Linked DNA regions of Mus musculus: regions 1, 2, 3, 4, 6 and 7 are each reported to be linked to region 5. The links are microRNA targets in miRTarBase. Many come from high-throughput screens and were not tested one by one. Region 5 holds a microRNA gene; each other region holds the end of a gene's coding sequence.

Region 1 (4,232 bases), not on the chromosome of region 5:
AATCACCCAGGAGTCTTGTTAACATGCCAGTTCTGACTGCGGATCTAGATTGATGCTTAAGACTCTACATTTCTAACTAGCTCCAGTCTAAAGACCACACTTTGAAAAAAAGTCCTTGATTATATGATGCCATCTAAGCTTAAACTGTATTATGTTTTATCCAATTAAATCAGCCAGAAGTTTAGCAGGCTTTCCTATAAAGGGACAAAAACTAGCTACTTTTAGCTTTGTGGATCATAGGGTCTTTGCTGTGACACTGATCTTATACAAGCTACTCAGATGAACAATCTCCTGTTATTAAACTTTATTTGATAATTTTCTTCTCTTACCAGATGCATGGCTGCTGCTGTAAAAGATGCAGGCGTATCACCTGAGCAGATATCCTATGTCAACGCACATGCCACTTCCACACCACTGGGTGATGCCGCTGAGAACAGAGCCATCAAGAGGCTCTTTAGGGACCATGCTTGTGCCCTTGCCATATCCTCCACAAAGGGAGCCACTGGGCATCTTCTGGGTGCTGCAGGGGCAGTTGAGGCAACTTTTACTGCACTGGCTTGTTACCACCAGAAACTCCCACCAACTTTAAACCTGGATTGTACAGAGCCTGAATTTGATCTCAATTATGTTCCACTGGAGTCACAGGAATGGAAAGCTGAGGGTCGGTGTATTGGACTCACCAATTCCTTTGGGTTTGGTGGTACTAATGCAACTCTTTGTATTGCTGGCATGTAAACACTGGCTTTTAATGGTCATAAATTTATAAATATTATATATGTAGATATGTCTTATATCAATATCCAATGACTTTAGCACAATTGGTATTTGTATAGTTCTTTGGTAGGGAACAGGGTGCCCAGTACTTGTTATTTTATAGCATCTTGGTGTCTCCATTGAGATTTCAGTGGCAACTAGTGACAACCAGAAATGTCTATGGAGGACAGAATAACCTGCACACAGAACCATTGATTTATGTTTTTCTAGTGCACGATTTCATCCATCATGGTCCTTTTCAGATATTTATTTAGAGACCAGCTTCTCTGAGCAAGGCTGTGCTGCTCCATGGTGTAACTAACTCTAGGGTCACCACTGTTGTACAGCATATAAACAGGACTACAATACAAGTACTCCTATTTGTATCACCACTCAGCATCCCTTTAGGACAGCTGTCAGCCAGTGATTCACCCCTGACCCATGTAGTGTCCTTGGTGGAATTTCCCCAAGCTCCCAAGATTTCAGTTCTCTGAAGGAGGAAGTAAAACAGGATTTCCTTTTTCTTGCCTGTTCTTGACCGACCTCCCTCCCTTCCTTCCTTCCTTTCTTTCCTTCCTTTCTTCGTCATCTTTTTTTCGCCTTCTTTGAGACATGGTTACTCAGGTAACCCTAGCTGTCTTGGAACTCACTCTATAGACCCTGGCTGACCTTGATCTCTATAGGGATTTGCCTGCCTCTGCCTCCTAAGTGCTGCAATTAAAGGTGTACACCAGCATAGCCTGGCTGGTTTGGCTTTTCTCATTCTAGATATGTTTGTGATGTGGTGAATGGACATAAAGATCTTTGGAAAAAACTCTTGTTAAGTTAGGCCAGCTCCTCTCTAACTTCTAACTTTGTGACTGTGACAATGTTCTCCAAGCTTCCTACTACTAGGGTAGCAAGTTCTTCAGAGGTGACAGCCATCCAGGAAAGCATTTGGTAGGCAGGGCTTTTATCTCTTCTGAGTAAGTGTTTTCATGTCTATGCAGGTCCACAATGATATGGAGCTTCAGTCAAGTGCCTACATTTCCTGGGCTCAGTAACACCTTTAATGGCTTTCTGTCCTTGTACTGTTTAATGATTTTTATTCCAATTCCATGACAAACTGCCTTTTGGCCTCTGCTTTCTTAGTGGCACACACACACACACACACACACACACACACACACACACACACAGTGTGAGAGAAAGGGAGATAGTAAAAAAGGAGATAAATGGCTATATGCCTATGTGCCTTTCTGCAGAATGGGGAGCAGTCTCACATTTTACTTAAAACTTTTTGTTCTTGTTTTAGTTTTTTTAAAAAAATAATGTGTATGAGTGTTTTCCCTGAGGAGCAGAAGATGGCCTAGTCAGCCATCATTGGGAAAGAAAGGCCCCTTGGTCGTGCAAACTTTATATGCCTCAGTATGGGGGAATGCTAAGGCCAAGAAGTGGGAGTGGGTGGGTAGGGGAGTGGGGGAGGAGGGTATGGGGGACTTTTGGGATAGCATTGGAAATGTAAATGAAGAAAATACCTAATTAAAAAAAGAGCTAAAAAAAAGGCAAAAACAATGAGAGGATTGTTGTGTATACTGTACATGCATCCTTGGGAAGAGCACTAGCTAATAATGCAATCAGCACATACAATGGTGAGCCTCTCCCTACGGTAAATGTCATTTAAACATTGTCAACAATTATATCTCCTTTCAAAACTGTTGCCTGTAAAATGATTGAAAAGCACTAAGTAGACTATATCAGAATGGGAATGAAATCTAGACAGTGTGATTCTTTTCAAGCTGTGGTCACACAGTTAAGGGGAAACAAAGCTGGGAAAGAAAAATTATTAATTTTAAAATTCACTATTTGAATGTAACAATATTGTATGAACTCAAAAATGTACTTTAAAAGGAAGAAATTGTTTTTAATGTGTAATTCATGGTTGGTGAATGAAATTTTTATTTTTGGTACAATAATATAAATGAAAATAAAAATGTTGTAAGATAAACAACAAAAAAAGTCTTCATCAGCTGATTCTGCCAGCTGTGTTTGAGATTCTCCCTTCTGCTATACATCATGCACAGCAGTTTTCCTTTTGATTCTTTAACTGGCAGAGAAAATGAAACCAATCAAAACCCCTAGATGGCCAGGTGTGGTGGTGCACGCCTTTAATCCCAGCACTTGGGAGGCAGAGGCAGGCAGATTTCTGAGTTCGAGGCCAGCCTGGTCTACAAAGTGAGTTCCAGGACAGCCAGGGCTACACAGAGAAACCCTGCCTCGAAAAATTTAAAAAAAAAAATTAAAAAAAAAAACAACAACAACCCTAGATGGTAATGTCAGTCACCTCGACCATCATCTTGGTAGGTCTTGGTGGTCTCCCAGGTGGCAAAACCCAAGATTTTATTCCTGAGCAATGTGAGCCATTGGTGTTAGTCATCTGTTTCACACATAAGTGTGGGGGCCAGAGTTTAGATTCCCAGTATCCATGTACATACCAGGCAACCGTTGCCTGCCTGTAATTTGAGCATGTGGTTACAAACACTTCAGTTTGAGACCCTGCCTATTCAGTTCTTTTTAAGTGTTCGTTGGTCACAGATACTGAACCTGTGTGACAGTTCTGAGGTTCTGCCTTGTGTATGTGTCATAAGACACTAGAATGCAGACTTGAGGGACTTCCACAAGCTATGCAAGTAACCCGTGGATATTGTTAGATCCATTTCTGCCACTTTTGTTAGCCAGATGCATCTTGTGTGTGCTTTGGAATAGCTAGTGACTAAGACTTGTTAATGTAAATTGGCAGCCATTTGCATCTGTGCTATGCAGGTGCTTCTGGGGAGTGAGTATACATGTGGCCCATAAGGCTTCACTCTTAATATGGTTCTTACAAGTCCACTCATATGCCCCTAATTGAAATATTTCTCTCTTGTTCCAGTCCATGCTTCCTAGACTACTAACCAAAAGCCAGGCCATGTATGTATATATTTCACTTTGAGGCTACCAAAGAGCGGTGGTTAAATGAGAAATGTACCTCATAGGCCTATGTATTTGGACACCTGGTCTCCAGCTGGTGGTGCTGTTGAGCTATGAAACCTTTAGGAGGGATAGCCTTGCTGGAGGAAGCATGCCACTGGGAGTGGGCTTTGAGAGTTTATAGCTTGCCGCATTTCCACTCTACTCTCTCGTTTTCTATGAGGGACTGAATCTCACAACCTTCTGCACCAGCTGTTTTGAGGGAAGAGGAAGGAAGGACGGGAGTAAGTCGTGGGTTAGTTGCCCAGGAGGCCCTGCTCTTCTCAGAGTTCAATAAGGAACCAAATGCCCAGGAATGATGTAAGTAAAGACACAGAAGAGATGAAAACAGGCAGAAAGTACCATTAGGAAAGATAGTGTCTCAGAGCCAGAGGACCATCAAGTAGACTGGGCTGGTCTTTTACTGGATCTTGGTTCTTCCCCCACCTTTTTGTTAAATCCCCATTTTTTCTTAACTTCTTCCTCCTCTT
Region 2 (4,232 bases), not on the chromosome of region 5:
ACTCCTTATGCTGTTAAAGTGAACCCAAGCACAAAATACTAAGTTAATTTGGTTCCTGCTGAGAGTTGAGAGCAGGAGAGTTGAGGGTCCCATGAGTGGACACAGTCGAGTGGCATAGGACAACACTTATGGCAAGATCACAGTGTTTTAGGATGCTCAGAGATGAACGGCAGAGCAAGACTGATGGAATAGCAAGCAGACTGCTTTCATGAATAGATGAAAACTGAAAATTTATCTAGAAAAGTCAAATGAAAAGCAATAGCTAGGTGTGGATTCATGCTCCAATTTCAAAAGTAAACACTGTATTTAAATAGCAGTTGTACGAATCCATTCAATTTCATTCTAGTTCCTACTCATTACGGTCTCATGGTTTTTTGCAAAAACTGAAACTAAGCTCTTCTTAAATGACAAATTTAGATTGCTTATTTGTAGGTTTGACACATTTTATCCAAGTTTCAGTGTTCTTGCAAATTTTGGCAAAAGGCTGAGATGGACAAAGCCAATAATTTTGGAGAAATAAAAATAGAGGCCATGGCAAAACACAAAAACTAAAAAATGCTAACTAGAAATCACATCTGATTAGAATTTGGTTTATATACAAATACTTGGGTAAATTTTCATTTAGAGTCACTGATTGGTTGTGACTGGTCTGGTTAACTCAATTTATAGTCAAATGACTTGTCTTTTCTTCAATAAGATCATTAGTCACTGCACAACTAGAGTGCCAGCTTAAAGTTTCATTTCCCTCAAAACTCCATCAAATTTGATCAAAATGTTCGAGTTTTGAGCTTGCTTTCTTAAGCTTCATGTACATTGCAACTTTTAAAATGCTAACACTTATATTAAACTCATCGCACCAAAAAGACAACTACCCTGAATGTTCCCCACTGAATCTCCTCCTAAATATAAGTCAACATTAATATCTTCCAGTGCTTAGAGCAACAAGAGAACAACTCTACTCTAAGTTTATCATCTACATATATCTTGATCAAAATTTTAAGAAGTTAAACCAGATAGTATGTTGCACCAAAGTGTCAAACTACAAAAAGTTTATTTTGCACAAAACATTTCCATATCCATTAATAACTACATCTAGACTAGCTCAGGTAGATTCTTCCTGGAATTGCGATGTTAGAAAACAGAAATATAGTGGTTCAAAGAGCCCACAGGTAAAAGGACAGACAACTCTCAATCTCTTAGCTCCAGGCAATAGTCAACAAAGGGCGGAGGTCCAATATAAAAACAAGAGTATTTAGCAATCACTGGTAACCAGGATTCACCTGGATAATTAAGATCAATGAGATACCATCCACCAGAGGTAGTTTTGCTTTTTTAAAATGCTGAGCCGATCTGATCTGCTTTGCATAGGAGTCTCAAATGTTCCAAAGAAAGATGTAAAGAGGGAGAGCAATTGGTTCCCACAATGGCTAGGCAGCCAGCCTGAGGCAAGTCACACAGTCTGGCTCTCTGTTTTACCAACCGTAGAAAAGGCAATAAAGTCTTTGCCAATGTCACTGTTTGGCAAATCAATCCAACTACCTGTCTTATGATATCCTGGACAGTCTCTCTTTCCTCCCGATTTTCATGAAGAAAAACAACTGTTATATGTACAAAAATTTGATTTTATGCTTTCTGGTGGGAGAATATATACTGAGTATAAAATATTCAATTTACTTAGGCTTTTGGAAAATACATTTCCTCCCTCTTATAACAATAGTAGTGCTAAGTAGAAGAAGTACACTATATGTCACAGAAATAGATGGATTACCATATTTGTAGCTTATTTCCTAAGTATTAGTTAAGAAGAATTCATATCACACCTCCATGGGGCTATTGCTATTCTCTATTAACCAAAGGATGTTAAAACTAATTTTGAAACACACACAAAGGCAAGTAAGTTCAGATGTGACAAAAATAGGTTTGGTTCTGAGACAAAACTGAACAAATCATCATCTCCCCCCCCCACAGCCAACCCTCTGATGTTAAAGTTTTGGCAGAGAAACCCTTGTCCATACAGTAGCACAAATGCTTGCTAATTCACTGCTGCCTTTACAAAAACTGGAAACTCAACTAAATTAAACTAAACCGAAAGACAACTTCGGAAACCTTTTCTAGTTCTTTTGCACATTCCCAGTCATTTTAAATCTCTCCCTGCCCCCATTCCTGCCATTTCTCTAAACCTGTACTCAGCCTCCTTCTGTGATCAATAGAAAAGATGGTCCATTTGGGGAGGCAAGGCCTCATTTGGAAACAATTTTCTTTCACCTGGCCTGACTTTTGCCAGACTGCATCTTACTTATTATTCAAAGAATAGTCAAAAGAGCACGAGCCATTTGCATTTGGAAAACAGCATTTGTGCAAAAGGTTACAATGCAAAGGGTTTACACACTTTCTTCCAGTACATAAAAACTGTCTCCACGCCCACATCTCTCTGCTTGATTTTCAGCCTGTGATTAGTATACCTTTAAAGTAGTTAGTACCAGTTTCTCAGCTGAAGATGACAAATGGCTCAAATTTAGACACTCAAGCTGAGAGATAGGATTCCTGTAACACAATAAATGTAATGGCTACTCTCCGTAATTTTTATACATGCTAAGAAATTTATTGGAATGTGAACACTTGATTCTCAAATTATTTAAGAGGAATGGTTTGAGGTTAACATTTGAACTTTCCTATCACATGTAGGGAAGTTTTTTTCTCTTTTAAAAATTTAGTATATTATTGACTATGCAAGGTCAGATCTACAGGTAAAATTCTATATATGAAGAGATTTTGTGCACACTCAGAAGTGAGGCCTCCGGAAACTTGCAGAAATGTTTTAAAGAGGGCATATTACCATGAACCTGTCACATTTTTCAGTCACATATAGTTCTGTTCACCACTTATGATGCTTTAATTGAAATCAAATATCACGTATAAACAAGAAAACACTATAGCATGAAAGAGCTAAGCAGAACCCAATTTAATACAATATACCAATGGAGGAAAATGGTGTGGGAAATATCAGTTACATTCTACATCAATCCTATAGACTATCTTGTAAACAAAACAGTAAGGTAACACTTCCAAAACAGAATTTATCCACCAAGAGTATACAGTAAGCCTACAGTACACTGTGGAAGTTCATTTATTATAAACCATTACTGGAAAGCAGTCACAACATTTTACAGTTATATTCAATATGGTAATTCATATCATATGGAAAATTCATGTAATATGGATCTGATAATTCATATACATGACAAACCTGTATGGTTGTATATTGTATGCTAATTCATATACAATGAATCCGTATAAGGTAACACATACTGGTTAATTTTCTATTTGCTTTAACATCTCCACAGATTTTTAAAATTTGAATTTGTCAACAGGTATATGCGCTTTAGTATATTGACTGCACCATGCTTATTGTCGTGTTGGTACAAGAAGACATACGAGAATACATATAGAAAGGCCACACGGAGTTTCTTGTTGAGAGATTCTGATACTCTGTAACTCTGCTGCTCAATATTTCAACTGAAATAGAAAACAAAACAAGAGTCAGTAAGAAATACTGAAGGGCTATTGAACAACGTGTCAGGAGACCTGACACAAGTTTTTATTCCACTTCTATATATGGACTAATAATCCAAGATATTCTTCACTCTGAATTTCAGACCCTCTGTGACAGTGGGCTAATTAAATCATTAAACAGACACACTGCTGGGATAGTCTATGGGAGGTTCCAATGGTGGGCCATTTTTAAGGTATTATCTATATAATGCCAAAATTTTTGCTCATCACCTAAATATTGGTTCATCTCATTCAAAAGAAACGTGCCTTCAAAATGTACTTAATACCAAACAGTTTGAAAAGTTCCAATAGTAAGCAGTGTTACACTTTTATCAAACGATCCTACACCTTTGTAGAAATATCCTGAGTAAGTCATACACTATTATACAAAGTGACAGGTTTGATCTTCGAAGAAAATCTCCACAACTGTCACATGTGAATATGATTATTCTCTGCCAAACACCTCATTTACCAAAGGAATCAAGTGGAAAAACAAATCATTCTTCCCAAACCTATTTTACGTAAAGCAATTACGTTCAATTTTCTTTGCCTTGATGTATAGCTCCCTTTGAGAACTTAGCAAGCACTGGACAAACCTCCATTGTCATGCTTTCCCAAGTTGCTGCTATTCCAAATAACACCTGCAAAATGATTCTAACTTCTAGCTCCTTCAGTTTTTC
Region 3 (4,232 bases), not on the chromosome of region 5:
GAGCTTTATTCTTCAGTATTAGAACCCTGGTAGTTTCCTTTTCTCCACTTCAGAAATAGTTTCCATTCAGGTGTGGTGGTACATGCCTATAATCCCAATACTTGGGAGGTAGAGGCAGGAAGATCAAGAGTTTGAGGTCATCCTAGGCTACAGTAGGAAGTCAGGCTAGGATGAGCAACAAACATCTCTCTCTCTCTCTCTCTCTCTCTCTCTCCCTCTCACACACACACACACACACACACACACACACACTAATGGGCCCAATGGCATGTATTTGTGATCCTTCACCTGGGAAATAGAGACAGGCTTCCTGGAGCTCACAAGCAGCCAGCCTAACCTACTTGGCAATTTCTGGGCCAAGTGAGAGATGCTGTCTCCAAAAATCAAGCAGACAGTGCCTGAGGAAGGGCACCTGAGGTTACCCTCTGTCCTCCACATGCAAGCTAACACATGTGTACCTGCACACATACACACAAAAAAAAAATATTTTCCAATGTCAATATGAAAAGCAGAGTTGTTTTCCAAAGACCATACTGAAAACACACTAGTGTGAACCTAAAAATTGATGTTTTCTGCATGGACAAACAGCTTGGTTTAGAACATGGCTCATGCCTAAAAGGCCCGCTGTGTAACAGAAACTGATGTGTGGGAGGGAGCCCCGGACTTTGATGCATCAGCAGACTGACTGACAACTGGGCTTCTAGCTCATCTTCTGATTACATGCATCAGGTATGTGTGAAGCTGCTTAGTATTAATATATTACTAATATACTCTCATTCTCTTTTCAGGAGCAATATGAATTCTGCTACAAAGTGGTACAAGATTTTATCGATATATTTTCTGATTATGCTAATTTCAAATGAAGATTCCTGCCTTAAAATATTTTTTAATTTAATGGTCAGTATATTTTGTAAAAAAAAAAAAAGAGATCATGTTAATTTATTTCCTAGTGGATATTAATATCCTTCCTAATTCCTTTGTATATATTTTGTTATGTTCTAAAGGCTACCTGCTGTAAGGTTATTAAATTGTAAATGCCCTTTTTAAAAATTGGAATAACATGTTAAGGTCAAATACTATCTGGAAAGATATATATTTCTGCTAACACCAGTCAGTATCTTAGTTCTATTAGATTCATGTTATGTGGTGTCCCACATCAGGTGTCACATGGTGTCACACATCATGCATCTGTAAATGTAGTTCTTAACATGTCAAATGTGTTTGTGAGAAGACACTAACCCCTGAAACCCCCTGTGGAGAAACCAGTAGAGGACTCCGAGTCAGAGCACATTTACTCTCCCCACCAACTGTCGCACCCAGGGCATCGGAATGTGGCAAACAGTGTGCATGGGGGCTTTGGTAGAGTCCTGGGTCTCAGCCATGTGGTCCATCCTTGCATTTGAAAGATCAGAGTGGAAGCAGACACGGCAGTGCATCACTGCACTGCTAGCACGTGGGAGGCTGGGGCATAAGGATTTGGTCCAGGTCAGGCCAGGCCAGCTTGGGCTACAGTGAGACTCTGTAACACAACAAACAACAAACACCCAGAGGGTTTTGAAACCCAAATCCAGGTCTCAGATGTACAAGGTGTAGATGGTGGTGACTTTCCTATGAGTTTTAAAAGGCATTCATGAGAGGCTGTGTAGTGCCACTGTAGGCTTGATAAAGAGATGTGTTATACCAGGCCATCTATTCTCACAGGCCTCCAGTACCCTCCAAACTAGCCATCTGAGCTGTGTTCCTGGAACCACTTGCTGCCTGCCTGTGTGCCTGGCTCAGAATCCACTCAAGCTCATTCCCAACGGCCCGCCCACTGACACAGCTGCCTGTACTGACCCTAATTGGGCCTACAGGCTCAACCACAGCTGCACACACACACACACACACACACACACACGGTAGAATGGCCACAAACTGTTGCACTGTCAATTTGCTGATACTCAACCACAGCTGCACACACACACACACACACACACACACACACACACACACACACACACACACACACGGTAGAATGGCCACAAACTGTTGCACTGTCAATTTGCTGATAGCCATTTCAGGATGTCAGATTTTCTTTGTAAAAAGTTAAGATGGTTTGTAAGAAAGGAATTCTTAAAAATCTAGATTTGTACAGTTTTTTTCTTAAATGTCCCACCTCTTGGTGTTTAATTTTTAAAAATGAGAGGGGGGGAAGATCCTAATCTAACTTACCTTTGGAGGAAAGGCTGCTGAGACCTCTGAGTTCAGGTGGCAGTGACAGGCGCACTGCCTGAGAGGGTAGGTTAGGAGGAGGGAGAGGAGGAGGAGGAATGTAGAAACATTGACTTCAATAAAAATTATCTTCCTATGGCATTTAGATACCTAGCAAATGAGCACAATGTAAAAAAAAAAAAAAAAAGACATCTGGTCTAACTCATTGAAGGCTTTGAACACAGTTTGGGAACTTTTTTTTTAAACTTTTTAAAAGAGAAATGAAAATACAAAGGCCTTATCTCCATGGAGGACTGATCATGCTCGCCTATTGCACAGTTTGTTCTTGTTCGTGTACAAGGGACAACCCCAGGGTCTGTCACTGCTTCATACAGGTGAACGGGTCACCACGCTTATCTCAAGCCCCGCAGCTCTGAGTGTCCCATCCAGAGGCACAAGCTGGCACTCAGCATGCAGGATGAAAGCAGACAGTGGCCACTGTCACCACCACCACCAGCTGCAGGCAGGGCTGGCTGCCTGTGCTTTGTGGGAGCTCCCCTTCTCTGAGCAGCCTTGGAGCACAGGCAGAAGATGGAAGATGGAGGAGCTTTCCCTGGCCAGTGGTCTCATTTGTCTCCATCTTAGACCCAAGCTCAACGCCTTGCTGTAACTGAAGCGGGACAGAGGGCAGTAAGCCCACTAGAATTAAGGTGACCTCACATGGGTCCCAAGCCAAAGTTCGGCCACGCACCTTGGCACCCCAACTTAGTTACTGGTCCTTAGAATCCCAGGCATCTCTTGTATCAAGAAATGCCTTAGGGTAGATCTTTTCAGGATGTCTAGAAAAGTATTCTAATGAGTGTTTTTCCTCACCTTGGGGCTGCCCCAGGTTCTCCTGCAGGCAGAGACCCTGCCTGTTTCTAAACAGCTTGTCTCATTCCAGAGAAAAACAGAAGCCACGCTCCTGTGGGCACAGTTGGGGCAGCACTTGTACTTTGGAGGGGCCAATCCCTCTAGTCTCTTGACTAATGCCATAGCAAAATTCAGCCTCCGTAAGACACAGAGCCTCTGTGTACAAGGGGTCTCCTAGGGGGAGGAGGGCGGTCTCAGCATCTTCTCTGTGTACCTGGCATGTCCTTTTCTTCTTCCTTCAAAGAAGCTCCGGTGTTTATGACACCGACAACCTTCTTAGTTCTCTGTTGCATGCGGTTGTGCTCAACGCCAAACAGTCATCAGAGCTGAGCGTTCTGATCAGGTGCGTCTCTTGGTCACTGTGTGACTTGCTTTACTCTCTCTCCATGGGCTGGATGAACGAGGAATGCACACCTGTGTTTTCCAAGGTAGTTTTATGTGTTTTTAAAACCTTTTTAAATGAGCCTGATACCTGTGTTTCAGCATTTGGCCACGTTGTTGGTTTTTGTTTTTCATGTATATTTACTGATATATTTTTGTTTGTAACCAAGTCATGTTTAATTTATGTGCAATCTTTATAATATGTGTATGTGTTATGGTTCCAACTCTCATATATTATTCCTTGATCACATTTATCGTTTGATCTTGCTCTGATTATGCCAGTGTATGTCGCTGAATTCTTGAGACATGTGAACTGCAAGATTGAAAACATCCGGATTCGAGAATAAATCTCTGACTACCAGCCTGTACCTGTGCTTCTGTCTTCCCATTTAAGTGTGTGTGTGTGTGTGTGTGTGTGTGTGTGTGCACAGAAACATGTGGAGGCCATAGGACAATGGTGAGTGTCAGCTTTAGGAATACTGCCCACCCTCTTTAAGAAAGGGATTTTCACTGGTCCGCAGCTGACCAACTGGGCAAGGCTGGCCAGCCAGTGAGCACCAGAGATTTTCTTATCTGAACTCCCCAGTGCTAGGATTACAGAAGTGTGACACTATTCCCATTTTCTTTATGAGGATTTGGGAGACTGAACTTGGTCCTCATGCTCACAAGCCAAACACTTTACCAAACAAACTATTCCAGTCCCACTGGAGGTCTTTAAAATGTAGGTCTGAGCCGGGCGGTGGTGGCGC
Region 4 (4,232 bases), not on the chromosome of region 5:
TATGTATGTATGTATGTATGTATGTATGTATGTGTACATGCTACAGCATGCCTTTGGAGGTCAGGTGAATTGCAGGGGTCGGGTCCCTTCTACCTCCATGGGGGCCTGGATATCAAGCTCAGTTATCAGGCTTGGCCGCAAGCACCTTGACCTGCTGAGCCATAGCACTGGCCCATTGCCTCGCTTCAGCAAACAAGAGTCTGAGCCCAATCTGGTCCCCTTCCTGCAGTTTCACAATGCCAATCAGCTAGCTGCCTGGTGTTTGCATCACATCTGCACCAACTACAACAGCGTCTGTTCCAAGTTCCGCAAGGAAATCAAATCCAAGTCAGCAGGTAAGAGCATGTCTGCGAGCTCCCTGCCATCCATTGCTTGCCCTCTCTAGATAAACCCCTTGGGAGGGGCCAGACTCGGTGGTCAGTTCCCTTTGAGTGTGCGGAAGTCACACATTCAAGTGACGTGACCCAGAGAATTTTCGGTTAGGGGAATCTCTTTGCAGGATGTCTTACTTAGAGAAGAAGGGAGTGGAGTTGAGGGTACCCCACTGCAGAGCATGCCAACATAAGGCCTCCCCTCATTTAGGGGTACACAGCCAGGGTCTAACTCTGAATAAAAATCAAGTGGTTTTGGGTCTGTGTGCCTAGCATAGAGTCTACACATTAGACTTTAGTCTCAGCATCTGTGGGCAGCCATGCCAGCATGCTGGGAGGTTTACGAATGGCAAAAAGCAGGACTGAGCATCCAGGACAGTCTTCGGGCAGCAGGAATCACGGGCAGTCTCTTCCCCCTCTCCCCGCAGACAACCAGGAGTACTTTGAGCGGCACCGCTGGCCCCCTGTGTGGTACCTGAAGGAGGAAGACCACTACCAGCGTGTGAAGAGGGAACGAGAGAAAGAGGACCTGGCGCTGAACAAGCACCATTCAAGGAGAAAGTGGTGTTTCTGGCATTCGTCCCCAGCTGTCGCCTGAGGAGGAGAGAGGGGACCGTCACCCGCTAAGGGCCACCTCCACTGTTGACAGCTCTACTATAAAAACCAGTCTCCTTAGCCATCCGCACAGTTGGGTCTGGGGCCCTGGCTTTTCCACTCGTGTGCATTTACCTCCACCAGGATCAAAGCACAAGCCCTGCCACCAATGAGCAGGGACATAAAAGGAAAGCTGACTGACTCTGAAGTCCTTCAACCAGAATGTCCTTTTGGTTTTTTTCTTTCTTGGTTAGGAAGCTACTACACTTCAGTCCGTTACTTTGTTCCTTTTGATACAAAGAAAAAAAAACAAAATCCAGCTTTCGTGTCTCAGATTCCAGATTGGAGAATATTTTTCTATGGACTCTTGTATTTCACTGAGGTGACAATACTGTGTATTACTTTATTTTATAGGCCACACATTGACCACGAAGCTGCCCCCCCCCCCGTGACTCTTTCAGCCCACGTGACCACTGAGCATCACTCATAATTACAGAGTTATCCTTTCGTTGGGAGGTAAAGGGTTGAGCTGAAGAGGCCTGAAGTATTCAAGCTAGAAGCGCTTAATCTTTGCTCTGATGAGCCACGTTGGTATAATTATGTATTTACAGGATCTCCTTTTTAAGTGCTAGTAATTACATGGTTATCCGTGCCATATAGCTACAGTGAGGGCAAATATCCTACTGTTTAAGAGGTCTAGATTCAAAGAGGACAATCCTTACAATCATTACAAGGGCTTATTCCACCCCAATCCTATCAGGGGCATGACTGACTGCCGGACCCGGGTCCCTACAACGCCATTCGAGTCCTACCATTGGATAACTATGTCAGGGTTGGTGACTTAAAAGTGCTCTGTGGTTTTGCTGTGCCTTCACCAGCAAACCGTCCTAGGGCCTGAACAGAGATAAGGGAAAGGGAAAAGGCTCATCCCACTGTCTTCAGGTCAATCACCTCGGCCTCACACCTGAGGCCAACTTCACTTTGTAAGACAAGTTGTTGTTGTTGTTGTTGTTGTTGTTGTTGTTGTTCTTTTTGTTTTTTTAACTCTTCCCAGGGAAAATTCAGGTCACCACTAAAGTAGGCCAAGGCAGACCACCTGCTTCTCCACTCGGTCTCACCACAGAGCCTGTGAAAGCACAAAGCTAGGGGCCAGGTCCTGCCTTCTCCAAGCAGGGAAAGGAGCCAAATCCTAAGAGTGTGGGGAATGGTGCTATTATGTGGTAATTCTGACCCCGGGTCCCTTGGGAAGATCAGTGTTAGAACAGAACTTGCAAAGCAGGGGAGCTCTCAAGCGGCATCAACGTCATTGCCTCTCTGCAGATAAAATGTTACAGTATAATATACACGTGTGTGCACACACACACACACACACACACAATCATCAGAGAGTCACAGCTCCACACCTGCCACGGGATGTCGTGTGCTGGACACCGGGGCCCATTCTGTTGAGAGGTCACCTTACTGATGCTAAGGGCTATTGATTTTTGTTTGTTTGTTTGTTTGTTTGTTTTTGTTTGGGGGAGGGAGTTTCTGAAGACAGGAAAGAGTCAGTTGAGTCCAAATGCCATATGGATTTGAAAAGCTGTGTAGACCACAGGCAGGCGTTTTGTTTCTGGCATGGCCACATACCAGATACAAGAGCTTAGAAAGACCCAGGAAGGCATCACCCTCTTGTGGCAGAGAGGGAGCCGCAGGGGAAGGGGGGCGGGGAGGGGGACAGCTTATCAAGCCTTCCCCCTTAACTTTGTTAATAGGGCAAATGGCTGACGGAAAGAGAAGGTGGGTGGAAGGAAAGAGTACACGTCAAGACTTGAGGAGAAGGAACATATAGCCACCTAGAGGTTCTGTTTTCAGTGAGTAGGCCTAGTTGAACTTCAACAACCAAAGCTCCATCCGCTTGTACTCTTGCCAAAACACAACAGACACATACATGAACATGGGACGAAAGCAATAATATCCTCTCGTGTTCTTCACAGCTGCTGGAACCAAGTGGCTGGTTCATTTGGTTGACACTGATCCGCCTTTAACCACGATGGTTCGTTTTGTGTTTGTTTGTTTTTTTAATTTCACAGAAAGCAAATAAAATTGTTTAGCTATAAAAAAAAATGCCTCGACTTTTGTGTAAAATCCTCACATGTATTTTAATAGCATTTTGAAAGCTACCAGCCCCAAAGGTGTTGCACCCTTGGAGCCACCTGTTGAAACCAAATGGTGAATGACTGCCATTTGTGCTTAGCTATTTTCAGCAGAGATTCCCAACATGTAGATGGGGCATGTGCCCCTTGGCTCTTTCTTGAACAATACCATGGCTCACTTAGTCTTAAGGAATGGAGACCATGACATCTCCATTCTGTTGGAATGGTTGCAGTGGGAGGTTTGCAAATCCTCACACAATTAAATATAAAAGGTCTCTACTGGTAGGCCCATGAGGAAGTTCTTCAAATGCAAGTCTGAGAAAGACTCTGCAAGGCGCTATCTATAACAGCTAGATGTAAGGTTACCAGAGCTTCCATGGAAGCAAGGGCTTTCATGAGATCTTACGGAGGGGCTGAGTTCTTTGTAACTGCATGGGGAAAGAGTCGAACCTCGCTCAGACAAGCATAGGAGACAAGCAGTGAAATGCATCCAGCACCTCCCGTGCCAATACACAGCTCCACTCATGCGACTTTGCACGTAGGCACAGCAGTGCAGTCAGAACCTGCACACAGTTCTACTGTAAATTCTTCCTGGAAGCCTGAAACCCCTGCATGGGTCTTAGTACCTCTAGAGAAGCACCTTGGAGATTGGGGGGGGGGGGGCAGGGCACAGATCCTACTGGTTTAGAAGGAGCTGAAATACTCTTAGATGCCAGCAGTCAGCTTCAAAAGCTCAAAGATCCTAAAACTCCAAGTTCTCCAAATTCGGCTTTCTTGTCTCTTGACACTGGCTAAATTGTACCAGAGGGAAAGCAATCTGTCTCCCAAGTATGGGGATGTTGGTGCCATGTTTCTGAATGAATCCTTTGTAGCCCAAGACTCACAAGTCCTTCTCTTGAATTACTTCCTTAAGATGATAGATAGATAGATAGATAGATAGATAGATAGATAGATAGATAGATAGATAGGATAGGATAGGATAGATAGATAATAGATAGACAGACAGACACAATCAGATTCTGGTATGCAAGCAGCAGTAATATCTATCTCCGAAAGAATTTGACCATTGCCTAAAAGTTGTTGCCGAGGTGAAGGCTGGCCATAAAGAATACGTGTGTGCAGTGTGTGTGTG
Region 5 (4,232 bases):
TATAGTTTATGTGCATGTGCATGTGTGCATATGCATATACATATACATCCATACAAACATATAGAAGTAGCACAGATACACAGACACACACACACACACCCATCAATCATTTTGAATGACAGGTGACTTAGAGTTTTAGAAATTATGCTGTGCTGGGCCAGTGAGTGCTCTTAGTCAAAAGGTAAAAATGCTTGCCAGAGTCAGGAGGATGAGCAGTCAAAATTCATTCTCAACTTCATGATGAGTCTGGGATCAACTTCGGATTCATGTGATGCCCCCAATCTATTTGCTTGTGTGTATATGTATGTGTGCATGAACATGTGTATATGAATATACATATACATACACACATACCCATACAAACATGCATACAAACACACAGAAAATGGATACTCATTGTTCTATTGAATGATATGTGTCTTAGAGTCTTAGAGATTCTGTATGACTGGGCCAGGGAGAGGTCACACTCACCATGTGACGCCCCTTGCCAGAGTCAGGGTGATCAGGAGTGCAAATTCATGTTAACTGCGTGATGAGGTAGAGATCAGCCTGTCATTCATGTGATGGCCCCTGTGTATGTGCATGTGTGTTTGTGTGTGCGTACATGTACATGTGTGTATATGAATATACATATACATACACGCACACATAGATACGCACGCACACACACACACAGGGATGGCACTCATCAATCCATTTGAATGATAAGTGACTTAGAGTGAAAATGCTTACTAGAGTTAAGAGTATCAGGAGTTCAAATTCATACTTATCCTCATGAGAATTTAGAGATCAGCCTGTGATTTATGTGATTCCTCCATGTATGTGCATGTGTGTATAGTTGTGTGTGCATGTTCATGTCTATATTTGAATATACATAACATACACACACACGTATAAACGCAAGCACACATACACAGATACAGGAATGGCATTCGCCAATCCCTTTGAATGATAAGTCATGTAGAGTTTTAGAGATTATGCAATAGGGGACATTGAATGGTCTCACCCACCAGGTGTAAAAGATTGACAAAGTCAGGAGGATAAAGATTTCAAATTCATGCTTAATTCAGTTAGAGATCATCCTGGTATTCATGTGATGCCACCCATGTATGTGCATGTGTGTTTACTTGTATGTGCATGTGCATGTGTTGACATGAATATACATAACATAAACACATGTGTATATGCAAGCACACACACACACACACAGAGAAAAAATTGCATTCATTTATATGTTTGAAAGATATGTGACTTAGAGCTTTAGCAATTATGTAGTACTTGGCCAATGAAACTTCTTACTTACCAGTAAAATGTTTTTCATATTCAGATGGATCAGGAGTTCAAATTCATGAGTAACTTCAAAATGGTGTACAGATCAGCCTGGCTTCATGGGATCCTCCCCAATGTATGTGCATGTGTGTATAGTTTTGTGTGCATGTGCATGTGTGTATATGAATAGACATATACATCCACACAAACATATACAAGCAAGCACAGATACACACACAGGAATGGCACTCATCGATCCATTTGAATGATAGGTGACTTAGAGTTTTAGAGACTGCAGTAGTGGGACAGTGAATGGTCTCAGTCACCAGCTGTAAATGATTGACAAAGTCTGGAGAATCAGGATTTCAAATTCATGATTAACTTCAGTTAGAGATTATCCTGGTATTCCTGTGATGCCACCCATGTATGTGCATGTGTGTTTACATGTGTGTGCGTGTACATCTGTGTAAATGAATATATATATATATATATATATATACATATATATATATATATATATATATATATATATATATATATAACATAAACATACATGTATATGGACACACGTATGCACACATACACACAAGGAATGGAATTCATTGATATGTTTGAATGATATGTGATTTTGAGCTTTAAAGGTTATGTAGTACTGGTCAAATGAAAGTTTTTCTCACTATGTAAAAGCTTGCCATATTCAGAGGGGTCAGGAATTCATATTCATAAATAAATTCAAAAGAGAGTAGAGATCAGCCTGATTTTATGGGGTTCCCCACAATATATTTGCATGTGTGTATAGTTTTGTGTGCATGTGCATGTGTGTATATGAATATACATATACATCCACACAAACATATACAAGCATGCACAGATATACACACACACAGAAATGGCACCCATAGATCATTTTGAGTGACATGTGACATGTGACATGTGAGTTTTAGAGAGTATGCCGTGCTGGGCCAATGAATGCTCTCACTCACAAGGTAAAGACCCTTGCCAGATTCAGGATGATCAAGAGTGTAAATTCATGTTGGTTGCATGATGAGTTGGAGATCAGCCTGGCATTCATGTGATGGCTCCTGTGTATGTGCATGTGTGTTTGTGTGTGCGTACATGTACATGTGTGTATATGAATATGCATATACATGAGAGCATACATAGACACACGTGCATGTGCGCTTGCATGCGCGTGCGTGCACACACACACACACACACACAGAGGATATGTGATTTACAGTCTTATAGATTATGTAGTAGTGGGTAATGAATGGTCGCACTCATCATGTGTAAACAATTTGCAGATTCAAGAAGATCAGGAGTTCAAATTCATGCTTAACTTCAGCTGGACATCATCCTGGTATTCATGTGATGCCACCCGTGTATGTGCATGTGTGTTTACAGGTGTGTGCATGTGAATGTATATATATGAGTATACATGTACAGACACATGCAGCACACACACACACACGAATGCCACTCATTGATCCATTTGAATGATATGTCACTTAGCATATTAGAGATTATGCAGTACTTGGCCAGTGAGTGCTCTCATTCTCTAGGTGAAAATCCTTGCTAGAGTTAAGAGTATCCCGAGTTCAAATTCATACTTATCCTCATGAGAGATCAGCCTGTGATTCCTCCATGCATGTGCATGTGTGTATAGTTGTGTGTGCATGTTTATGTGTGTATTTGAATATACATAACATACACACACACGTATAAACACAAGCACACACACACAGACACAAGAATGACACTCATCAATCCATTTGAATGATAACTGACTTAAGAGTTTTAGAGATTATGCAATAGGGGACAGTGAATGGTTTCACTCACCAGGTGTAAATGATTGACAGAGTCAGGTTAATCAGGATTTCAAATTCATGCTTAACTTCAGTTATAGATCATTCATGTGATGCCACCCATTTATGTCGATGTGTGTTTTCGTGTGTGTGCATGTGGATGTATGTATATGATTTTGCATATACAGACACATGCACACACATGCGGCACACACACACACACACAAATGACACTCATCGATCCATTTGAATGATATGTCACTTAGAGTTTTAGAGATTATGCAGTTCTGGGACAGTGCGTGATCTCACTCTCCAGGTCAAAATGTATGCTGGAATCAGGAGTTTTAGGAGTTCAAATTCATGCTTAACTTCATGATGATTTTAAGATCAGCCTGTGATTCATGTGATTCTCAGCCATGTATGTCCATGTGTGTATATTTGTGTGTGCATGTGCTTGTGTGTATGTGAATATATATATCATACGCACGCACACACACACACAAATGCAAGCACATACACTCTCACACACAGAGGAATTGAATTCATCCATTAATTTGAATGCTATGTGACTTATTCTTTTAGAGATTATGCAGTAGTGGGACAGTGAACGGTCTCACTCGCCATGTGCAAACATATTACAGATTGAGCAGGGTCGGGAGTTCAAATTCATGCTTAACTTCAGCTGGACATCATCCTGGTATTCATGTGATGCCACCCGTGTATGTGCATGTGTGTTTACGTCCCTGTGTATGCACATGTGTGTATATAAATATACATACCATAAACATACATGTAAATGCAAGCACACAAACATGGAATGGCATTCATTGATACATTTGAATGATGTGTGACATAGAGCTTTAAAGATTATGTAGTATTGGGCTAATGAAACTTTTTACTCACAATGTGAAAAAGCTTCCCATATTCAGAAGGATTAGGAGTTCAAATTTATGAATAACTTCAAAATGGCTTAGAGATCAGCCTGGCTTTATGGGTTCCTTCCCAGTGTATGTTCATGTTGCATAGTTTTGTGTGCTAATGTATGTGTGCATATGAATATACATATAAATACACACAAACACATACACACAGGCACACACACACACACACACACACACACACACACATACACACACACACACACACACACACACACAT
Region 6 (4,232 bases), not on the chromosome of region 5:
AGATGGAAGACTGGGAACAGGAGACGAAAATGAGGTGTGTGAATACAGTCAGAGTGTAAAATAGACAGCCATGAAAAGTTCATCGTGAAACCCATAGTTTGTATAATAAATATAAAATATAGTGCTGAAAACCATTCAAAACCCCAAGCCAAATGAGCAACCAAGCAACTAACCTCAAACAACAACAAAACAAATAAAACAAACAAACAAAAAACCAAACCAAATAAACGAGTTTACCCAAATGTGTTGAATCTATAACACAATCACAGTTTCCTTTTGAAACTCAAAAGGTGAGCACACAGAGGGTTGAAATAACAGTTCAAGGGACATTCAATCCCTTCATCTTCACCTCCTACTTGACACTCGGAACATCTGTCTTGTCTAATTCTCAGTAAGCACAGGGCTTTCTCTCAACCGCTTGTAACTATGTTGGATACATTTTGACACATCCCAAACACTTTGGCCTCTGCCTCCTCAGAGTTGGGACCTATGGCATTCATACCTAAGACAATTAAGATCCAATTACATGTCCTTAATTGTTCCACAAATTCCTGTCTGGGTTTCTTTCAGTGAGCATGTAGTGAAGGGCCATGAATGTCAACTAGCTGCTGTCCTTAGTGAAGTATATGCTTTGAATTCTATTCCCTGTTGTCTGGGAAATTCTTCTATCAACTTCATCATTTGATTGTTACAGCCTTATTACACTGGCCAACTTGCCTCCAGGAGGGTTGGCAAATGCAGGAGCAGTCAGGATTCGCTCTGAGGAAAATATCTACACCATCGAGGAGAACGTATATGAAGTGGAGAATTCAAATGAGTACTACTGCTACGTCAACAGCCAGCAGCCATCCTGACCGCCTCTGGACTGCCACTTTTAAAGGCTCGCCTTCATTTCTGACTTTGGTATTTCCCTTTTTGAAAACTATGTGATATGTCACTTGGCAACCTCATTGGAGGTTCTGACCACAGCCACTGAGAAAAGAGTTCCAGTTTTCTGGGGATAATTAACTCACAAGGGGATTCGACTGTAACTCATGCTACATTGAAATGCTCCATTTTATCCCTGAGTTTCAGGGATCGGATCTCCCACTCCAGAGACTTCAATCATGCGTGTTGAAGCTCACTCGTGCTTTCATACATTAGGAATGGTTAGTGTGATGTCTTTGAGACATAGAGGTTTGTGGTATATCTGCAAAGCTCCTGAACAGGTAGGGGGAATAAAGGGCTAAGATAGGAAGGTGAGGTTCTTTGTTGATGTTGAAAATCTAAAGAAGTTGGTAGCTTTTCTAGAGATTTCTGACCTTGAAAGATTAAGAAAAAGCCAGGTGGCATATGCTTAACACTATATAACTTGGGAACCTTAGGCAGGAGGGTGATAAGTTCAAGGTCAGCCAGGGCTATGCTGGTAAGACTGTCTCAAAATCCAAAGACGAAAATAAACATAGAGACAGCAGGAGGCTGGAGATGAGGCTCGGACAGTGAGGTGCATTTTGTACAAGCACGAGGAATCTATATTTGATCGTAGACCCCACATGAAAAAGCTAGGCCTGGTAGAGCATGCTTGTAGACTCAAGAGATGGAGAGGTAAAGGCACAACAGATCCCCGGGGCTTGCGTGCAGTCAGCTTAGCCTAGGTGCTGAGTTCCAAGTCCACAAGAGTCCCTGTCTCAAAGTAAGATGGACTGAGTATCTGGCGAATGTCCATGGGGGTTGTCCTCTGCTCTCAGAAGAGACATGCACATGAACCTGCACACACACACACACACACACACACACACACACACACACACACACACACACACACATGAAATGAAGGTTCTCTCTGTGCCTGCTACCTCTCTATAACATGTATCTCTACAGGACTCTCCTCTGCCTCTGTTAAGACATGAGTGGGAGCATGGCAGAGCAGTCCAGTAATTAATTCCAGCACTCAGAAGGCTGGAGCAGAAGCGTGGAGAGTTCAGGAGCACTGTGCCCAACACTGCCAGACTCTTCTTACAGAAGAAAAAGGTTACCCGCAAGCAGCCTGCTGTCTGTAAAAGGAAACCCTGCGAAAGGCAAACTTTGACTGTTGTGTGCTCAAGGGGAACTGACTCAGACAACTTCTCCATTCCTGGAGGAAACTGGAGCTGTTTCTGACAGAAGAACAACCGGTGACTGGGACATACGAAGGCAGAGCTCTTGCAGCAATCTATATAGTCAGCAAAATATTCTTTGGGAGGACAGTCGTCACCAAATTGATTTCCAAGCCGGTGGACCTCAGTTTCATCTGGCTTACAGCTGCCTGCCCAGTGCCCTTGATCTGTGCTGGCTCCCATCTATAACAGAATCAAATTAAATAGACCCCGAGTGAAAATATTAAGTGAGCAGAAAGGTAGCTTTGTTCAAAGATTTTTTTGCATTGGGGAGCAACTGTGTACATCAGAGGACATCTGTTAGTGAGGACACCAAAACCTGTGGTACCGTTTTTTCATGTATGAATTTTGTTGTTTAGGTTGCTTCTAGCTAGCTGTGGAGGTCCTGGCTTTCTTAGGTGGGTATGGAAGGGAGACCATCTAACAAAATCCATTAGAGATAACAGCTCTCATGCAGAAGGGAAAACTAATCTCAAATGTTTTAAAGTAATAAAACTGTACTGGCAAAGTACTTTGAGCATATTTAAACCAGATCAATGGTTTTATTCAAGGATGTCCTTATCTGACAGTCTTTAAGCAAGGGCATGTATATAAAGATGGTCACTGCTGTGGTGTTTACATCAGTAGGGGGATGGTTGGTTACACGGTGTTACAGTTTATATAAGATTTATAACTTGGCAGATATAAAATCAACTTGGAGGTCGATCTCTGCCTGGGTCTGTGAGGCATTTTCTAGATTAGGTTAAGTGAAGTGGGAAGATCCACTAAACATTTTCTTGTGTCCTGTCCCCATCAAAGAAAGTGGGTCAGGTCAAGGACACCAGAAGGAGGCAGTAACCTGGAACTAGAACCCTTGTTTTAGACTTGGGGTCACTTAAAATCAAGTATTTGGGATGGAGTTGGTGGGTGGCACAGGAAAAATGAGGTAGTATAAGGGACCAGGAAATGGTAAAGAGGTAGCTTAAAGGCTTCAAAATGAGAGGGTGGAGAGATGGCTCAGCTGTTCAGAGGGAGTGTTGTGCCATTTCGAGGACTGTAGTTTGGAACTCAGCGCCTATGTAACAAGGCTGGAATCTATTGCAGGCCTGTCACTTTGGCGGAGAGGGTCAGAGAGCAGGATGACTGGGGATGACTGGGCTTCCTGGCTTCCAGCCTAGCAGAGAAACAAGAGAATGGTTGATTATATGGTGTGATAATTTATATTGATTGCTAACTTGACAGGGTCAAGATGAATCCTTAGAGATGAATCTCTGGCTGTGCCTGTGAGGTACTTTCTAAATTGGGTTAATTGAGGCGGGAAGACCTATCCTAAGTATGTTAATTGAAGAGGGAAGACCTGAAGAGGAAAGCGTGGATGGGGACTTTTCATGTGCTGGTGTTCAGGGAGAGACCCTGCCTTATAGAGATAGAGAGAAACAGAGGACGACACATGATTCCCTCTTCTAGTCTTTGTGTAAGTGCTTAGGCACATATACTACACACAGATGTGCAGCAACTTAGTTTGATCCCTGGACCCTATGGTGAAAGACCTGACTCCTGAAAGTTGACCTCTGACCTCTACATTCACACTGCCTGAGCCTGTGCTCACACACTTATCACGTATAGACACAATAACAATACACGGAGTTAAAAATTTAAAAAAGCAGCCAGGCATGGTGGTGCACGCCTTTAATCCCAGCACTTGAGAGGCAGAGGCAGGCATATCTCTGAATTCGAGGCCAGCCTGGTCTACAGAGTGAGTTCCAGGACAGCCAGGGCAATATAGAGAAACCCTGTCTCGAAAAACCAAAAAAAAAAAAAAGCTAAAGAATTCAAAGCTTATAGAAAGGTTAGAGCTTTCTGAGATGCATGAGACCCAATTTCAAAACAAAACAGAACAAAACAAAACAAAAAAAAGAATGAAACCCTCAAAAAGCAAGAAATCAAAGGCTGGCAAGGTGGCTCAGCAATGTTTTACAGTTATGAAGACGGGAGTTTAGAGCCCAGCATCGGTGTAACAAGCTGGGTGTCTTTCACATGGCTACAAACCCATCTCTGAAGTGTGTGTGTTCATATGCATGTGTGTGCATGCGTGTGCATGTGTGTGTGTATAAGAAT
Region 7 (4,232 bases), not on the chromosome of region 5:
GAACTAAGAGCCAACTAAGAATTAAGATCTAAAGTTTGTCTCTGCTATAGTAGTCTTCTTGTCCTATCTTTTTTTCTTTTTTTGGATCTATATTCCTCATTCCTTAATTAATTCTTTTTTGAGTACCTGTGGGAAATATATGTACATGCAAATAAGTATAAGATATACTAAAAGGATAGAATTAGTTGTGGCTTTGTGGCAAAGATGACTTTTGAGTCTCTTTAAGATGAATGGTGTGGACTGTGTGAGAAGAAAAAGTGAAAGTAGTTTCTTATTAGAGTAATAGGAAAAAAGACATTAAGATTAGTCTTTCTAGAATATTGGCTGAGTCAGATGATTGTGAACATCTATTAAGTAATAGGTTGCTATAGGTTGCTCAGCTTTATCACTAAAATGTTGAATTCTTCAGTTCCTTAAATTCAAAAATAAATAATGAGGGCTTAAGTCTGCATGGAGGCCACTCTTATTAACTCTATAGATATTATATGAAATACTTTAGTGTAAATAGTACTGTCATTAGTGATAATTGTACATGTGTTTGCAGAGCAAGAATCACTTTGTATATTCATGAATTAATTTTTTAATAATTTCATTTTTGCTAATAGCAACTACAAGTCATTAACAGAGCAATGATTACAGTATTGTGACAGTACCTAAGTAAATAAAGCTGTTAATATTTTAAAAGATAATATTTGGAATTAGAAGTGCTTTAATTTTTTGGCTTATACTTATTTCATTAAAAATTAACTCACTGTTTTGCTGTTTTATTTGCTATAAATAACATCATAATTTTGTTTGCTTTCTTTTTTTCCAGTTGTTTTGCAGGTCTGCAGCCTGGTTCTTTATCCAATCAAGTTCATTGAAACTGTGAGCTTGAAAATTTACCACGAGTTCAATTGGGGTTATGGCCTGGCCTGGGGTGCAACTATATTTTCATTTGGGGGTGCCATTCTTTATTGCCTGAACCCTAAGAACTATGAAGACTACTACTAAAATCAAGTCTGAAAAACAAACACACATATGCACACACACACACAAAACATACACTACACACACCACATTACACACAAACACACACACACACACACACACACACACACCACATGAAAAAGAGAAACTAACCATCCAACAAAAGATTTGTGTTGACATCTTTTCTAACACTATTTTCTAAAACACTTGTGGAGCCTCAAGCAGTTTGCTCAGTTGATTTAATATCCTTGCCTTTGGGTGTCAACATCATAACCAGCTTTTATATCCATTTTAGGGACCTGCACAAATTAAGAATGCTGATTAGATATAGGCATATGCTGCAAACTTCCAATATGCTTATGCCATTTCTCTTGACATGTGAAGGATCTGTATGACAGCAACCATTTTGAGAAGCTAGTTGGAATGAGAATTGCCAGAGTCTCTTTTTGCCTGCAGGGAAACAGCTGCATAAGCAACATGTAAAAGTTCCATTGCTCTGACATTTCTACTGTTGGAGCCCTTATCACCTGTTTATATTGCGCAGTGGCTATATTGGTTATTGGTTACTTTGCTTTGGAATTTGAAACTGCCATTTGGGCATCTAATGAGAATCATAGATATAGCCATTTAATTCTACCTTTAAGGCTGTTCTTTTTAATAGCAAATTATACTTTACCAATTATCATCTCTTGGGAAGGAAGTCAACGTTTGGAGACATGTGTTTTTCATTATGTAGTTATAAAATTGAGGGTGTCTGCTTTCCCCTGGGGCAATCAGAAAGAAATGTGCATGAGTTGCTTTTGTACCCTTAAAATCCTTTAAAAATTTTGCAGCAAACAATTGTCCATATGTAACAAGCTTATTCTTCTACACCACAAGCCATTACCATACTGGTAATAAGTTGCTCATTAATAGTCCACATACATGTACCTATCATTCATATAATCAATACTTGCTCTAGTGAAGCAATTTGAACACTAACCTTGTATGCATCAACAGACTCAGTATTCACAGTTACTTACCATACAAAAGTTCATATACCTTAAAGCTTTTGCTCTGTGTTCTCTACTGATTCATTGGAAAGTATTAATAGAATTGCCTAAGAAGTAAAATTGAAATGTTGTTAATCTGAAATTTAATGATTCTTTTATAAGTATTGTAGTTCAAAAGAGAGTAGGAATTAGAATGATCACTTTGTGTAAAATTCATTAAAATACAAGGCTGCTATTTTTGCAAGTATTTTAAATGTCTTCATTTTAAAATAAAGGAATAGTGATAGATTTCTATAAATGTCTAAAAGTCTCAGTAGATGAGTAGTATTCCGTTGTTACCTGGTCCTCTGAAGTTAAATGATGGGCTAACTGATTTGTGCACACAAGTGTGATGAATTTATGTTAGGGAAATTATTCACTGACTATTCCAAGGGAAGAAAACATCAACAATAAGGAATAAGTTTGCAATTGATCTTTACTGCAAACTTGTGTTAATTCTGTTTATTATACAAATCTGGATAGTTTAAGTATAAGCCTATTTTTATATAAAATATACAATTCTGATAGGAAAGTTATAAATGATTATTTTTGTTAACAAAGACATTAAAGCAAGTTTTCTCTCATTTGACCCTCTTGAAGACAGAAACATTGGGGAAGAAAACATTAAAAATGTATCTATTTACTAATATATTATACAATTCACTAAGAAAAAGACTGTGTCAATAGCATTTAATAATTTGCTTTACCTCCCAGAGCAGATTTCTGCTTTCAGCTTATCTTAAGAATGGTTGCCAAGAACAACTGTCTTTCCCTGACCTGAAAAATGTTTTATTCAAATGTCAAAATAAATTGTGAATTTCCTATGGAATCAAAGTAAATATAAATACCTTATTCATTCTTATTTTAGTGGTGATAGACAAACATTATTAAATGCATCTTAGAGATCAAACTTTATGAAAATGTATGATTCTATCAAGAATCATAAGGAACTGAATGGAAAATTTCCAGAAAGGGATTAGTATTATAGACTATTTTGAAGCCGCTTTCTTAAAATCAAAATCTGGGATAGGTTCTCTTATAAACTTCATTGCATATTGGGAGAACAGAATAAGAAATGTGATATTTGGATAGGGATTTCAGCTACAGACCACAGCCTCTTGTGAGAGGACCTCTTTATTCTTGAATGAATAAGAGGCGATGAAAACTTTGCAGCAGGCATCAGTGAGGCTTGTTGAAGGATACAGTGTGCAGTTAGACCAATATCAAGAATATGATAGAGCTTCCATTCTCTGTCCACATGGCAAGCCAAAAAGTGATAGGCTATGTTACAGGTTGAAGCACAGATATTTGTAATCTACTGAAAAATAGATTCTTTCTGTAATTTTCTCCCTTCCCAATTAACGAGCCCTAAGCTACATTTTTACCATATTTGGAACTTTTTCATTACTAAGAAAGCTTAGTACAGTGGGGAAATCCTTTTTTTCTTGTCCTAAGTAATGTGTCTATCTGAATAAACACAAGTGATAATTTCAGCTATAGTAGCATCATTTCTTCTAGCTTTAGGTTGGATTGGTGTTTTCTTAAACAGAGTTGTTAGTCATGAACCCATCCATGGTTACCTTAGAGAGATGATATACACACAGAGAAACCCTAACATTATTCAGCAGGGCTAGCTATTCAGATTTCTTGCACAAGTATTTAGCTTTTTGTAAGGTCAACATGTAAATTTTAAAGACAAATATAGAGAGACTTATGTGTTTGAAATATAAATGATATATATGGATAAGCATGTACCTGTATATTATTAAACATGCAGTGAACTGACTGGTAAGTGATTGTCTAATTGTATGGCTAGCAATGTAATTTATTCAGACTGTATTTTTGTACAGAGCAGCGCACACTAACCTATGCCTCTGTGTCCTCCTTAATGCCTAAAACTGTGCCTAGAAATTTCATCTGTCTTAAAGAAAATAAAATATATTCCATGCTGTTTTATGATAATAGTTTCTTTCCTGCTATTCTGTATTTATTATTTTTAAATATCTGACATGTTTACTACTTAAATATGAGTTTATGTTATCCTGTTCTTTTCTTTTCTTTTCTCTTCTTTTCTTTTCTTTTCACTTAGAAGTCATCTGGGGAAATCTGTTTGTCACTCCAGTGATGCTTGAGTGTGCAGTCCCATTATCTGTTCTTCATTTAATGATTTTTGTAGTTGACCTAACGTTATCTATGTGGAAAAAAAATTAAAAAAAAAAGTGGTTTCACTAA

What was found. Region 5 holds the annotated microRNA mmu-miR-466n-5p (GUGUGUGCGUACAUGUACAUGU, at 2,374-2,395, shown strand). A microRNA usually pairs through its seed, bases 2 to 8, with sites in the 3' UTR of a target mRNA and lowers its output. Matches are read on the target gene's strand: a 7mer-m8 pairs with bases 2 to 8, a 7mer-A1 pairs with bases 2 to 7 and ends in A, and an 8mer does both.
Region 1: miRTarBase lists Oxsm as a target of mmu-miR-466n-5p. Seed matches in the 3' UTR shown: 7mer-m8 at 953-959 and 7mer-m8 at 1,887-1,893.
Region 2: the mRNA of Mbnl3 is a reported target of mmu-miR-466n-5p. The part of its 3' UTR that is shown has no 7-base or 8-base seed match.
Region 3: the mRNA of Ptpre is a reported target of mmu-miR-466n-5p. Seed matches in the 3' UTR shown: 7mer-m8 at 1,868-1,874 and 7mer-m8 at 1,953-1,959.
Region 4: miRTarBase lists Rhobtb1 as a target of mmu-miR-466n-5p. Seed matches in the 3' UTR shown: 7mer-m8 at 2,318-2,324 and 7mer-A1 at 2,337-2,343.
Region 6: the mRNA of Havcr2 is a reported target of mmu-miR-466n-5p. Seed matches in the 3' UTR shown: 7mer-m8 at 1,749-1,755.
Region 7: miRTarBase lists Tmem47 as a target of mmu-miR-466n-5p. Seed matches in the 3' UTR shown: 7mer-m8 at 1,023-1,029, 7mer-A1 at 1,032-1,038, 7mer-A1 at 1,064-1,070 and 8mer at 2,340-2,347.

The regions. Positions count from the first base shown.
Region 1 is chr14:16,237,171-16,241,402 of GRCm38, reverse strand. Oxsm (3-oxoacyl-ACP synthase, mitochondrial) reads left to right here. Exons shown (of 3, transcript NM_001359883.1): 3 at 333-2,751. The coding sequence ends at 735. Among named protein-coding and RNA genes, the nearest start is that of Oxsm, 4.0 kb to the left of the region's middle.
Region 2 is chrX:51,117,503-51,121,734 of GRCm38, forward strand. Mbnl3 (muscleblind like splicing factor 3) reads right to left here. Exons shown (of 8, transcript NM_134163.5): 8 at 1-3,516. The coding sequence ends at 3,505. Among named protein-coding and RNA genes, the nearest start is that of Mbnl3, 86 kb to the right of the region's middle.
Region 3 is chr7:135,682,444-135,686,675 of GRCm38, forward strand. It overlaps Ptpre (protein tyrosine phosphatase, receptor type, E), which reads left to right. Exons shown (of 21, transcript NM_011212.3): 21 at 789-3,851. The coding sequence ends at 863. Among named protein-coding and RNA genes, the nearest start is that of Mki67, 32 kb to the right of the region's middle.
Region 4 is chr10:69,288,721-69,292,952 of GRCm38, forward strand. Rhobtb1 (Rho-related BTB domain containing 1) reads left to right here. Exons shown (of 11, transcript NM_001252637.1): 10 at 230-335; 11 at 800-3,071. The coding sequence ends at 969. Among named protein-coding and RNA genes, the nearest start is that of Gm40685, 21 kb to the right of the region's middle.
Region 5 is chr2:10,511,386-10,515,617 of GRCm38, forward strand. It overlaps Mir466n (microRNA 466n), which reads left to right and starts at 2,356; the gene lies at 2,356-2,449. The region is part of intron 10 of Sfmbt2 (Scm-like with four mbt domains 2); the gene reads left to right. It overlaps Mir669m-1 (microRNA 669m-1), which reads left to right and starts at 1,405; the gene lies at 1,405-1,502. It overlaps Mir669m-2 (microRNA 669m-2), which reads left to right and starts at 2,049; the gene lies at 2,049-2,146. It also overlaps Mir669o, Mir466g, Mir466h, Mir297b and Mir466d.
Region 6 is chr11:46,478,593-46,482,824 of GRCm38, forward strand. It overlaps Havcr2 (hepatitis A virus cellular receptor 2), which reads left to right. Exons shown (of 7, transcript NM_134250.2): 7 at 695-2,663. The coding sequence ends at 854. Among named protein-coding and RNA genes, the nearest start is that of Havcr2, 26 kb to the left of the region's middle.
Region 7 is chrX:81,093,638-81,097,869 of GRCm38, forward strand. Tmem47 (transmembrane protein 47) reads left to right here. Exons shown (of 3, transcript NM_138751.2): 3 at 815-4,232. The coding sequence ends at 993. Among named protein-coding and RNA genes, the nearest start is that of Tmem47, 25 kb to the left of the region's middle.